Oryzias latipes: one gene and its partners. The protein of the gene in region 1 binds, or shares a complex with, the protein of each later gene. Links are inferred from orthologs where the notes say so. Each region holds a gene or a part of one and is shown in the gene's direction. Other genes may lie near its edges.

Region 1 (4,088 bases):
CCACAACACCAATCCTCATCCTCCCTTCATAATCTGCAGATGTGTTCAATGACACGCCAGGTTCCAGGAAAACAGAATGCTTACAGAAACCCAGTCAACCTTTCGTTGTTGTGTTTCAGTATTTGTTCATCTGGGATTTGTAGTTGTTGTATGTCAACGTGTCTTGCACCGTCTCGGCCACCGTAGAGGAACACTGCAGACATCTGAATTCTTCAAAGCAAACCAGCACTGAGCTGAGAAAAAACTGAGATGTCGCATCACAAACACTTCAACACAGCTGTCAGTCAACCCGCAGAGTCCGTAAGGCCCCGCACCGATTCACGCGAGGATTAGCATGCGGTAAGTCACGACCCCGGGCCGTCCCCACGGAGAAAAACACTGAACTGACCGCGTCACCTTGGAGTTTCCTTCAAACCTGATCAGTTCCAGGCAGACTCCAGAGCAGACACGGACTTCATCCTCGGAGGAAGACTACCCTAACCCCGAACCGACGCGATCCTGCGGCTGACATCCAGACGGACTCAGGGAGGGCTAGCCGCGCGACATGCTAACGCTAACCCAGACTGCAGTACGCTGACTTCCGGGTTAGCCTCCAAACCAAAACCCTCCGGAGGGGAGCGTTCAGACTCACCGGGGACCGCAGTCCAACGACGAGGCCTCAGACGCAGAGACTGCAGGAGAACCACAAGCCTTCGCCCGGATCCTTCACGCCGCTGCTCCTCAGACGGATCGATCTGTGCAGTCAGCTGATCGGTGGACGTGTGACGGCTACATCCGGTCCCGGGAAAATAAAACACCGCGGAAATATATACTGTGCTTTTAAATTGAGTTATAACCGATACAAACATGAAGTCAGACATTTTGCTGTGATGGTAGAGTTTGCATGATATCACTGTGAGTTTTCTCCCTTTGCCCCTCACAGTTTAATGTTTTATAGGTTGGTTTGCGGTTTGAACTCTTATTTTGAAGTTGTTTTTTAAACTGTTGCCATCAAACTGAATTGTTTACTTAATTAATAATAATAATAATAATAATAATAATAATAATAATAATAATAATAATAATAATAATAATAATAATAATAATATATAAATAAATAATGTTTGACCATTGTTGTTGTTATTTATGTCGAACGTTTCTGTATTAACTTTGTTGTGATATTTTATTGTAAAACGTTTTCACACCTATTAATGTCATTTGTTTGGAGGGGGTCATCCAACTTTATTCTAGGTCTATTTCTATTATTAAAAACTTTTTTTTTTCAAATGTAGCGGAAGTTCTTGTTTTGTTATTGAGTTGGACTTCCGGTTACAGTCGGAGCTTGAACACGTGTTGATCGAGGTTCTTGAAGAGCTGCGTTTGTCCGTGGTGTCTTTGGACGCCGCCGTGTTTTCACCTCGGTCTGGACGTGCGTTCGTGGGATCGAGTGGATTCCTGTCACGCGGCGGTCGCGCCGACGCAGCTTTCCTTTTGTCCGACTAACAGGCGCGCGCCGCGGAGCTAACAGCGTAGCCGAGCCGTTAGACATGTGCGGACGTGTTCCCGGGAATCACCCGCCGTGACACAAATCCGGACGCCTGGAAGTTACTTCAGCAGATCAAAAGGGATCGAATGGATCATCGGTTCCCTCTGAAACTTTTCCCTTCGTTTTACAACCACGGACCCCCGAATTCGAGGCAGAAGCCCTGCGCGGGCGGATGGGGCAGTTACGAGCGCGTCATTCCTCAGGTGGGTCATTTGGTGCAACGGCCTGCCTCATGGTGTGTCATCTCAATCATCATCCATATTCCCGAAACACGGGGCTTCGATTCCGGGACTCCACAATAAATGCACCTTAGTGTATGTCGCTTAGTTATTATGCGACATAGAAAATAATTGGTTCTTTGTCATGATAAAGACTGAAATATAAAGATGTGTTTTTGTTTTTTTACGGTCTACAAAAGGTCAGGGACTCTTTTTAAAATGAGACAGGATCATGTGCAACAAAGAATCATCACGATCCATCTGCAGCAAAATTACCTCAACGACCAAAACACTAGAAGGAGCTGCATGTCCAGCAAATCCAGGCTGAATGTTTATGTTGATGAATGTAAATGAAACTAAAGGGTAATAATTGGAATCCTGGTGTAAGGCAGGTCTGATCAGCGCAGTGGTGGAGTGAGCGTCTCTCTAGCGTTTGATGCCCATCACACCTTTTTTGCAGATTGGCAGAAAAATATCTGGTTTGCAGAAACCGCCTGAGCTTCGCTGTTTCTGTGTGTTTACAGGAAGGGGCGGGTCCTGGCTCCAGCTGGTCCTTTACCTCCAGACACCAGGTCAGCGGGGAGACGTGGCTCCACGCCGAGCCTGTGCCCGTCCCGCTCCTGTCTCCCAGAAGCGGTGAGCTGCTTTCTCCTGCAGGAGATTGAGCCTCTGCTACGAGACGAGGCATTTGATGTGATTCTATCCACTGAAACCCGTTTGTCTTCTCCGCTGGAAGAGTACGGCGGCATAGATTCATGCATAAGGAGACACTGATTGTAGAAAACTCTCTGTTGCACAGCAGGTTGATCTCACAATCGTCTGGGGAGTTTTGGAGAATCCTACAAATCAAGGCGTTCCAAGTCCCATTGGTCTTTGGATAATGGTGATTTTGTTTTTAGCCAAAATCCTGTGTCGTTTTCTAGGACATTGAATCTTCAGAGCAGCAGGAGTTCATTAGAAATTCACCTCTGCGTTGTGGGCGGGACTGTTGGCGCAGAGTAAGCACGCTGTCGTTTCCCTGGCGTACAGCCCCTCACGAATCCAAGCTAACGTTACCGTTAAAAAAAACTGTACTGTAGCTACACAGAAGTCCATTTCTGATCCAGATTCCAGCTCAGAGCAGGAAAACAAAGACGTTCATGGGTCTGTTGGTCTGCAGGTGGATGATCAGAAAGGGGCGGAGCATGGAGACTTTGGCCACGCCCAGCACATTTGTTGCTCAACAAATAAGCTCTGTATCAAATGGAATTTATCCTGATTTACAACAATTTAAATAAAGAAATACTAATTTTGTCCTCAATCATGAAAAAATGTCGGAAGAACACGTTAAACACAGAGAAGCTTTAAGCTTGTAGAGCAGCTTAAAGAGCCTTTACCTTTCCCTGAGAACCTTTCAGAGTCAACAATGTCCACATAGGACTATCTGTTACCTTTGACACAGTTCTTATGAAATATAAGTTACTTTCAGCTCATTTTCCAACCTGGAAGTAAGATGACTCGATCTCCGAGGCTCCGCCTTTCTCTCCTTGTGGGCTCCGCCCATTTCATGACATCATCCTAGTGTCTACGTTTCTCCTACGAAAACATTCAAACTTTTCCAAAGATGGATGTGCATATTGTGTATTGAAAGGAAAGCGTCTACCCGATCACCGCTAGCTTCACTGAGAGAGTGGGCGTGTCTATTAGCCTGGAGGCGGGGCTGGCAGGGCAGACTCTTCCTGAAAGGGGCGGTTCCTCACTTTGTGATGTCACAGTGTGAGAACGCACTGGTTTTGGGAGGGGCTGGTGCTCAGAGAGCAGGTTTTTAGAGGAACACTCAGACATTCATGAATGGATCCAAATACTACTTTGGGTTGTTTATAGTGAAGAATGAAGATTATAAAACACTGAAAAGCTCCACAAGTTGATTCTGCATGATAAAGACCCTTTAGAACGTTTCACCTCAGGAGAAACGGACTGAAATAACAACTTAGGATGAGAAGTTTACTGAAGTTGATCCACTGGATCACTGGAGCAGTCAGCTGATCATCAGGGGGCTGGAGAACCTTCACGTTTTCAAACAGGGAAGTGAAATGTTTGAGGCTGTTTTATTGAATACAGTGGTGTTATCTGTGAATGTCCTCTGTTCCAGCTTTTCTCCCATCTGTGACGCCTCCAGAGCCGGCAGACTTCACTGAACACGTAAGGAAGCAGCAGTTCATGCACTGACAGCCTCATATGGTTCCCTTTGATGGCAGAGCATCAGCCAAGCAGGGTTATGATCAAAGTGAGGCTGGCTCTGCTGCGTTACTCAGCAGGTCCTCTCTCTGCTCTGAGGGAAACCAAAGCCGGAGGCTACACTTCCA
Region 2 (4,152 bases), on another chromosome or scaffold:
GCAGCGAGCCAGCTCCTCATAATTGACATCAGGACTGACATTCATCTTGCGGGAGTGAATCTGCATGATGCGAGCTCTGGCCTCTTCGTTCGGCATGGGGAACTCGATCTTTCTGTCGAGCCGACCTGAACGAAGCAGAGCAGGGTCCAGGATGTCCACTCTGTTGGTGGCAGCAATCACCTATGAAGGATTTACAAGAGCACTGTGGTCAGACCTGGAGCACAACATTATTAGAGTGCATGCTAAAGTTTAAATGTAAAATTTAGCAACCATTTTAAAAGATTAAAGAATATAATGCTGTAACTAATTACAATTAGTTTTACACAAATGTTTACATGGAAAGCATCTTTACCTTGACCTGCATGTTGGGCTGAAAACCGTCCAGCTGGTTGAGCAGCTCCAGCATGGTCCTCTGCACCTCTCGATCTCCAGCCTTCTCGCTGTCGAACCTCTTCGTTCCAATAGCATCCAGTTCATCGATGAAGATGATGGACGGAGCTTTCTCTTTAGCCAAAGCGAAGGCATCTCTGACCAGCTTGGCGCCATCTCCAATGAACATCTGTACCAACTGCGGACCTGCCAGCTTTAGGAAGGTAGCTTTGGTCTGAGCAGCACAGGCCCTGGCCAGGAGGGTTTTTCCTGTACCAGGTGGGCCGTACATGAGAACCCCTTTGGGTGGCTGGATGCCCAGGTTCTCAAACTTCTCCTTGTGGTTCATAGGCAAGACTATAGCCTCCACCAGCTCCTGGATCTGCTTATCAAGGCCGCCTATGTCGCTGTACTGCTCAGTGGGACGCTCATCCACCTCCATGGCTTTAACTCTGGAGTCGTACTCTGTGGGCAGGGTCTCCAGGATCAGGTAGGAGTCTTTGTTGACCCCAACAAGATCTCCAGGTTTCAGCTTCTCGGCGTCCACCAGCCCGATCACCGGCAGGAAGTATGTCTGCCGGGTGGAGGTTTTAATGACAGCGCACTTTCCTTTTCTCTGGGAATCCAAATCCACATTTGCCCCATCTTCCTCTTGGTCGTTGGGATCCACATCCAGCAGCTCAATCACGTTCGAAACCAAGTACGGCAGAGTTTTGTTCACCTTTATCTTCTCCGTGTTTTCTTTGATTTTATCCTTCATGGCCTGGAGCTCATGAGTCACCCGAAGCACTTCGCTCTTCATGATCTTTATCTCGCTGTCGAGGAGACGAGTGCGCTGGACTATCTCCTCTGTGGACATTTTTAACACTTCTTCTCCGATTCCATCTTCCACCTCGTCCCAAACTGATTTGTCACTCAGCGACGCCATCTTTGCTCTGTCTGACTGCGCGCTGTGACACGCCGGAAGTTAAAGCTTCTTCTTCCGGAAGGAGCCAAGCATTTTCTTCCCAGACTGAGCGTTAGATAAAACAAGCTAAGCTCGCATTATCTTGTTTTTGTGGTCACTTCAGCTCCAAAACGATACCAGTAAGTTGCCTTTCATTAACAGGCTTTTCTTTCAACACATATAGTTTAGTTTTCAACTTTTTTTAACGCGGCAAACGCTTTACGCCACAGAAAAGGGTTTGTATCCCTATGTGTATGCTAGCTTACTTTAGCTATGCAGCTAACTTCAGCTAGCCGGTGTGTTTAATTTGAAGGCTGTCAGATGTGCTACGAGAGAACTGATCGTCTATAGACAAGAATTAATGATTTAAAAAAAAGCATTTGAAAGGCCACACAATGAGGTTCACGGTAACTGCAGACCTCGTGACTCAGAATATTATGTTTCTTTTATGTTCGCGCTCTTATTTCTGTTCTAGTTTTGCTAACTTCTCTTCTGTGTACACACACACACATCTTCTGTTTTTCAGCGTTCTGGACTCAGCATTGTGGAAAAAAACAGGGGAGATTGTGAAGTCTATTTTTATTCTAGTGGTCTTTTTCTACGTACATAGAGCCCTCTCAATTCAAGGCACCTGCTGCGAAAGTGGATTGGACAACTGCCTAATAGTGGTTGGCAGTGTTGGAACGGGAGAAGCACAAAACATGGACCAAAACAACAGCATCCAAGCCTTTCAAGGCCTGGCTTCACCTCCGGTATTAATCTCCGCTTTGGTTTCTTCAAAATGGTTTTCATAAAACAAACATTTCACAAATATAATATTTCTAATTACATGATCGGGTCATCACAAAATATTGAGAAAAATATTGATAAGTTCTCAATTTCAACTTATTACATATGTTTTGGTTAGTTTTGAATATGAGTTACTTTTATTTAAATTTGATATATTTATTTTCAAGATATTTATGACTGAAATATAAATTTCATTAAGGAAATCATGATTCTTTTATTTTGTATTTCTGTATTGTATCTACGATTACATTTAATCAGAGCATGATTTCCGGTTGCTTCAGAAAGTCATACTGCAGGTCATATTTTGCATTACTGTAAATACTGAGCTTTTAAAAAAAAAAAAAACTTTCTTCTAATTTAACAACGTGGTGGTATTGTATTATGCAGGGTGTGATGACCCCAACCATGCCAGTGTTCAGTCCCATGATGCCGTACGGCTCGGGCCTCACGCCCCAGCCAGTACAAAACACAAACAGTTTGTCCATACTGGAGGAGCAGCAGAGGCAACAGCAACAACAACAGCAGCAGCAACAAACACAGCAGTTGAACACAGGTAAAACAAACTTTTTATTCATATTCTTTTCTCTTATGTTGAGGTGAATCTAAAAATGTATTTAATTTACTGGATTTGTGTTTTTTTACTAAGAAAAGATAATTGGTATTGTCTCATAGGTCTTCCAGGAGCATCAGGACAGACTCCACAGCTCTTTCATTCTCAGCCAGTACCAGGTTCAACTACCACTGCGCTACCGGGGAACACCCCGCTCTACAGCGCTCCGGTGACGCCTATGACCCCCATCGCTCCAGCAACACCTGCCTCAGAGAGCTCTGGCATCGTACCACAGCTACAGTACGTTGCATACGATTCACAGAGAGATGAGAACATTGACTAATACTGCATACCCATTTACAAATTTAACTTTTTGGGTTATACATGAAAAAGGAAATTGAATTTATTTTAAAAATGGATACATTTAAAGAAAATTCGTTTTAAATGTTTTATTGTTCTAAATGTTTTTTTACACAACTAAATGCAATGTTTTTATTAAAATAACGTTGTCCCATTTGTTTTTTTTGCCACTAGAAACATAGTTTCTACTGTAAATCTGGGTTGTAAATTGGACCTGAAGACTATTGCCTTAAGAGCCAGGAATGCTGAATACAACCCAAAGGTAATCCCAAACTGATCATCTTTTCATGTTTTTTTAACTGTTAGCTTTGATTTGTAAGCAAGTAAGGCAAATGAATTTATTTACTTTGGGCCATCATCCGTCTAAACCTTAAACAAAACAGGCCTTATATTTCCAAAATACGGCTACGTTTGTAAAGTTAGAAAGCTCTACAACTGAAGTGGGAAAAACATTGTAATGTTGCCGTTACTATGCCACCTTCCAGCGTTTTGCTGCAGTCATTATGAGAATACGAGAACCAAGAACTACAGCTCTCATCTTCAGCTCTGGGAAGATGGTCTGCACTGGAGCCAAAAGGTAAGAGTGGGACTTGTTTTTTAGCTTTATATGATTTAAAATGTTTTGCAAAATGTACTATTTGATGTCAAATTTGATGTCAAATTATTTCTAATGATAAATCCAGCAGTCAAAAATTTAGACAGACTTGCCCATTGATATTAATGAATGACTTAGTCCAGGGGTCGGCAACCTGGGGCTCCGGAGCCGCATGCGGCTCTTTCATCCCTGTGCTGCAGCTTTATGGCTCTATGTGGTTTTCCTAGACTAAAACAACCCATTTCTGCGTAAAATTAATTACATTTGCGTTAGGGCGCCCCTACATCCTGTCAACTTGCTGGTATGATGACCGTATGTTGCGCTGTCTGTGTAGAACACGCTGAGGGGGGGGGCTGTAGGCGGGGGAAAACAACTTGGAGTTGCAGAGGAACATGTAGAGAGACGGGGGCGGGGCTTAGACTCACCGCTTATGATTCCAGACCCGCAACAAACTAAGAGGTGCTTCCTAATAAAAAATAGTTGTCATGCATGAAATGGATATACTTTATTGGGTTTACTGAATTTATTGAGAAAAAAATAAAA
Region 3 (3,941 bases), on another chromosome or scaffold:
TTACATTCTTTGTCAAAAATTTGAACCGTTTCTTCAAATTCCCCAAACTTCAGGTACTAAAGAGAACAAACACAAAGTGTGTTAATTATACAATCACCATCGTGGAATACATTGAAATGTTAGATCAACTATCAGAATAAACAGATTATGGATTTTAATTGCAGTTTTTTTCTTCACATCCCTATCATGCTTTACCTCTTTAATCATCCCAAGGAGATCGGCTTCAGTTGCCAAGATGTCTCCCATCTTGGCTGTCTTAGTTGAACTCATCCGTGGACCACAGCTGTCAAAATACCGGCCGTCATTTGGGGCTCAGTTTGAAATTCCTTTGCACTTACAAAAAACAGGTAACAGTCTGAACAGACAGAATAGCACAGACAGGCAAAAAGAAAAAGAAAAAAATACTTCAATAATTTCACGTTTTAATGTAAAGATGACCAGTCTTGCTTATTCGAACAAGAGCAAATAATTACAACCTGTATTAACTTGTACGGTTTCAGTTTTCTTTCCGAATTATTATTTGTTTGTTCCAACCGAGGTTACTGTAGTTGTATTCAATTCAATTACATTGTATTTATAGCCCAATATTTACAGCAATAGTCATCTCAATGGGCTTCATTCCGGTAATTGTGTAATAAACATGAATCATAAAGAACATAAAGTCATAGAATTCAATAGCTGATTGCTAAACTAAACAGAAGAAACTAAGTGGACATCCCTGCCCTAAAACTAAGACCATCCTAATGTTACTACTATGATCAAAAAAAAATTATTTTCATCTTTGTATGCATTTTATAGCGGAAAACACGTTAACTATAACGGCAGAGATTTGAAGAGCTGCAAACTGCAGGAAGCTAGTCAATAATTGTTTCAGTCAGGTTTGTTCACATGATGAGCGTTCCTTACCTCGTTTGACCATCTTTTCTTGGTAAGAATCCGCATTAGAAGTTTCATTAAATATTTTATTTATGCTTAAAATGTATATTGGTAATTATTTTTTCGATATAATGACGCTTATGGTAAAAACAACAGCCTTAACATTAGCTAGCAACCGTCCACACAGAGGACGCTAAACGCACCTAGCAACAAGATGACGACAGACGGAAGTTAGTAAAAACTGTCGTAAAATTAGTTCAGTTGTTGGTTACTTAAATTATCAGTTAAATAATTGAGAGAAAACAAATACTTTTATAAAAATCTTTTTTTTATTTGCTACGTAAAATTTAGCCAAAATATTATTCGTTTTTTCCCCATCTTTGACCTATTGTGAGCCTTCAAATAAAACGGTAGGCAAATTTAATTGGTGTTATTTTAGTGATCATTTTTTCTACATTACACCATCGCAACGCATTTTTCCCTTTCTAAAAAATGTATAACATTCAGTAAAGCAAAACATGCGTCTTTCTTTTAAAAGAAAAAAAGAGACAAAAAAACGGAAGTTCTTGTTATGTCAAAGGTCGAACACGCTGGTTCTGCGCGGTACCGACTATTTCGCTTAATAATGAATGAAAATCTATCTAAATCAAATATCTGACGTCTAGGTTACATTATTATCGTTTTTACACGAATTCACCACATTCCAGGGCATACTATTTACACAAAAATACAAGAACAGCACTTGGGGGTAAGTATTATATTTTGTGTGGACAACATGATGCTACAGTTAGCGCGTAAGTGAACATTGTTAAAGTTGTCCAAAGTTGTGACAAGTTTTGTTCACCCACTTTGACACGGTGGGAGAGCTTTGTGATTTCCATTTGTTTTGACCTATTCCTTTTTCTTTTTAACTTGTTTTTAATTAATTATAGTCAAGATCGGGACCAGAACGCTTAGGAGTGACCAGGTTAGACAGGATAAGGAACGAGTACATCAGAGGGACGGCCCATGTTGCCTGTGTTAGCGACAAAGTCAGAGAAGCCAGAATGAGATGGTTTGGACATGTTCAGAGGAGGGATAGTGGATATATTGGTAGAACTAGAAGGATGTTGGAGATGGAGCTGCCTGGCAGGAGGCCAAGAGGACGGTCAAAGAGGAGATATATGGATGTCTTAACAGAGGACATGAAGTTGGCTAATGTTAGGGTAGAAGATGTTCATGATAGAGTGAGGTGGAAAAGGATGATTCGCTGTGGCGACCCCTGATGGGAAAAGCCGAAAGAGAAAGAAAGAAGAAAGAAGAGTCATAGGAATTTCACACTGAAACTGTGAAAAACACAATATAGCACTCACTGCTATAGTGTGTTTTTCTTGATTGACTTGGCTACGTAAAATGCTTTGCTGTGTGACTAACCTTCCCTTTTAATTTTGTTTTATGATGAATCTGTTTTAGGTTTAACAGAAAGGGATAAAGATGGCTGGGATTTTGTTTGAAGATATTTTTGATGTGAAAGACATTGATCCAGATGGCAAGAAATTTGACAGAGGTATGTGGACTGTCACTGTAAAAACACAAAAACGATCTTCACCAGTAGATAGTTTCAGTTGTAAAAGTCATAATTACAATTGTATATTGCATTTTTGTTCATATTGTGTTAAGTGTGACTAAAAAATTGTGTTGTCAGTAATTACAGCTTTTATTTTATTATTTTATTACAGCTAAACATTACAGTCATCACATTACTGAGTTGGGAAACCTTCAATCCTGCTTTTTAGTAGCTTTAAAACTAACACAATAACAAACATAATCATTATATGCATTTGCTTGAAAAAGATGGATATCTAAAAGCGCGTTAGTCAGTTTCATAATGTTTTCAGTTCTCTTTAATATAAACTAATACAGGTTATTATTACTTATACTGCAGTGTCTCGTCTGCATTGTGAAAGTGAATCTTTCAAGATGGACCTGATCTTGGATGTAAATACTCAGATTTATCCTGTTGATCTTGGTAAGAAATTAACAATGTCCTTTATTGTTTATGTCTTGTTTGATCTTAGACATTTGGCCTTTGTGGAGGAATTTTTAAATTGATTATTGGTAGTATTTAGTGAAACTGTCATTCTTCACTCTTGTAAGGTGTTGGTGCAGAATTGATAAGTTATTTTAACTCAGTTTTGACTCAATGTAAAACTATTGTATTAGAAGTGTAGCTTGATCTTAGGTGATTATGTACATTGCTATGATAAATCCAGATTTTTTTTTGCATGTTTCAAAAAGGGGACAAGTTCAGACTGGTGATTGCCAGTACATTATATGAAGATGGAACGCCAGATGATGGAGAGTACAATCCCCAGGATGATCGACCATCTAGGCAAGGCATTTAAAGAAGATAAATGAACATCCATGTCTTTCAATCTGTGGCAGATAATGTGTGATGCTTTTGATTCATCTTCCATTTTTAAATTGTTTCTAGGGCAGCTCAGTTTGACTATGTAATGTATGGAAAGGTCTACAAGATAGAAGGCGATGAGACCTCAACAGAAGCAGCCACGCGTCTGTAAGTTCTACACAAATGCATGTAGATCATTACAATCCTTTATTTAAGTTAAAAGTCAAGTGCTGTCAATTTAGTGATTAGTAAAAATTTAAATAAACTGTATGTATGTGTAAATGTTGATCAAGTCCTCTAATGATGTGCTTGTTCTTTCAGCTCAGCCTATGTGTCTTATGGAGGCCTTCTCATGAGGCTGCAGGGAGATGCCAACAATCTACACGGCTTTGAGGTAGACTCCAGAGTCTATCTCCTCATGAAGAAGCTGGCCTTTTAACCCCCCTCCTCTGTTTTCTACCGCCTTCATCCACCTTTGTAAAACTGGGATCTAGAAAAGTGGAACATATGAACATCTTAGAGACAAAACACCATGTTTTTGTAAACCTCTGTTGTATTTTTTATAGTTCCTCCAACAAACTACACTGAGGTCTGTGATTTCCACTTGGTGGTACACTGTAAATAAATATTTCTTTCTTTTATACAAAACAATTACAAGTGTTGATTAACTTCATTT

What was found.
Region 2: taf1c (region 1) and tbp share a complex: the UniProt entries of both Homo sapiens proteins name them as parts of the transcription factor SL1/TIF-IB complex. The link is inferred for Oryzias latipes from reciprocal best matches to the Homo sapiens genes TAF1C and TBP.
Region 3: taf1c (region 1) and polr2h share a complex: the UniProt entries of both Homo sapiens proteins name them as parts of the pol I pre-initiation complex. The link is inferred for Oryzias latipes from reciprocal best matches to the Homo sapiens genes TAF1C and POLR2H.

What each region holds. Positions count from the first base shown.
Region 1 is NC_019870.2:29,159,920-29,164,007, forward strand, and holds the start of taf1c (TATA box-binding protein-associated factor RNA polymerase I subunit C), read left to right. Parts: upstream 1-1,280; 5' UTR 1,281-1,611; coding exon 1,612-1,728; intron 1,729-2,267; coding exon 2,268-2,379; intron 2,380-3,874; coding exon 3,875-3,924; intron 3,925-4,088. UniProt on the Homo sapiens protein: Component of the transcription factor SL1/TIF-IB complex, which is involved in the assembly of the PIC (pre-initiation complex) during RNA polymerase I-dependent transcription.
Region 2 is NC_019861.2:24,481,923-24,486,074, reverse strand, and holds the start of tbp (TATA-box-binding protein), read left to right. Parts: upstream 1-1,352; 5' UTR 1,353-1,455; intron 1,456-1,841; 5' UTR 1,842-2,016; coding exon 2,017-2,067; intron 2,068-2,491; coding exon 2,492-2,657; intron 2,658-2,776; coding exon 2,777-2,954; intron 2,955-3,188; coding exon 3,189-3,276; intron 3,277-3,499; coding exon 3,500-3,591; intron 3,592-4,152. Other genes in the region: psmc3 (26S protease regulatory subunit 6A), read right to left, coding at 1-180, 353-1,297. UniProt on the Homo sapiens protein: The TFIID basal transcription factor complex plays a major role in the initiation of RNA polymerase II (Pol II)-dependent transcription.
Region 3 is NC_019862.2:11,777,378-11,781,318, forward strand, and holds the start of polr2h (DNA-directed RNA polymerases I, II, and III subunit RPABC3), read left to right. Parts: upstream 1-1,135; 5' UTR 1,136-1,286; intron 1,287-1,433; exon of another isoform or gene 1,434-1,624; intron 1,625-2,328; 5' UTR 2,329-2,349; coding exon 2,350-2,422; intron 2,423-2,800; coding exon 2,801-2,884; intron 2,885-3,153; coding exon 3,154-3,247; intron 3,248-3,349; coding exon 3,350-3,433; intron 3,434-3,586; coding exon 3,587-3,704; 3' UTR 3,705-3,941. Other genes in the region: lisH domain-containing protein ARMC9, read right to left, coding at 1-56, 196-270. UniProt on the Homo sapiens protein: DNA-dependent RNA polymerase catalyzes the transcription of DNA into RNA using the four ribonucleoside triphosphates as substrates.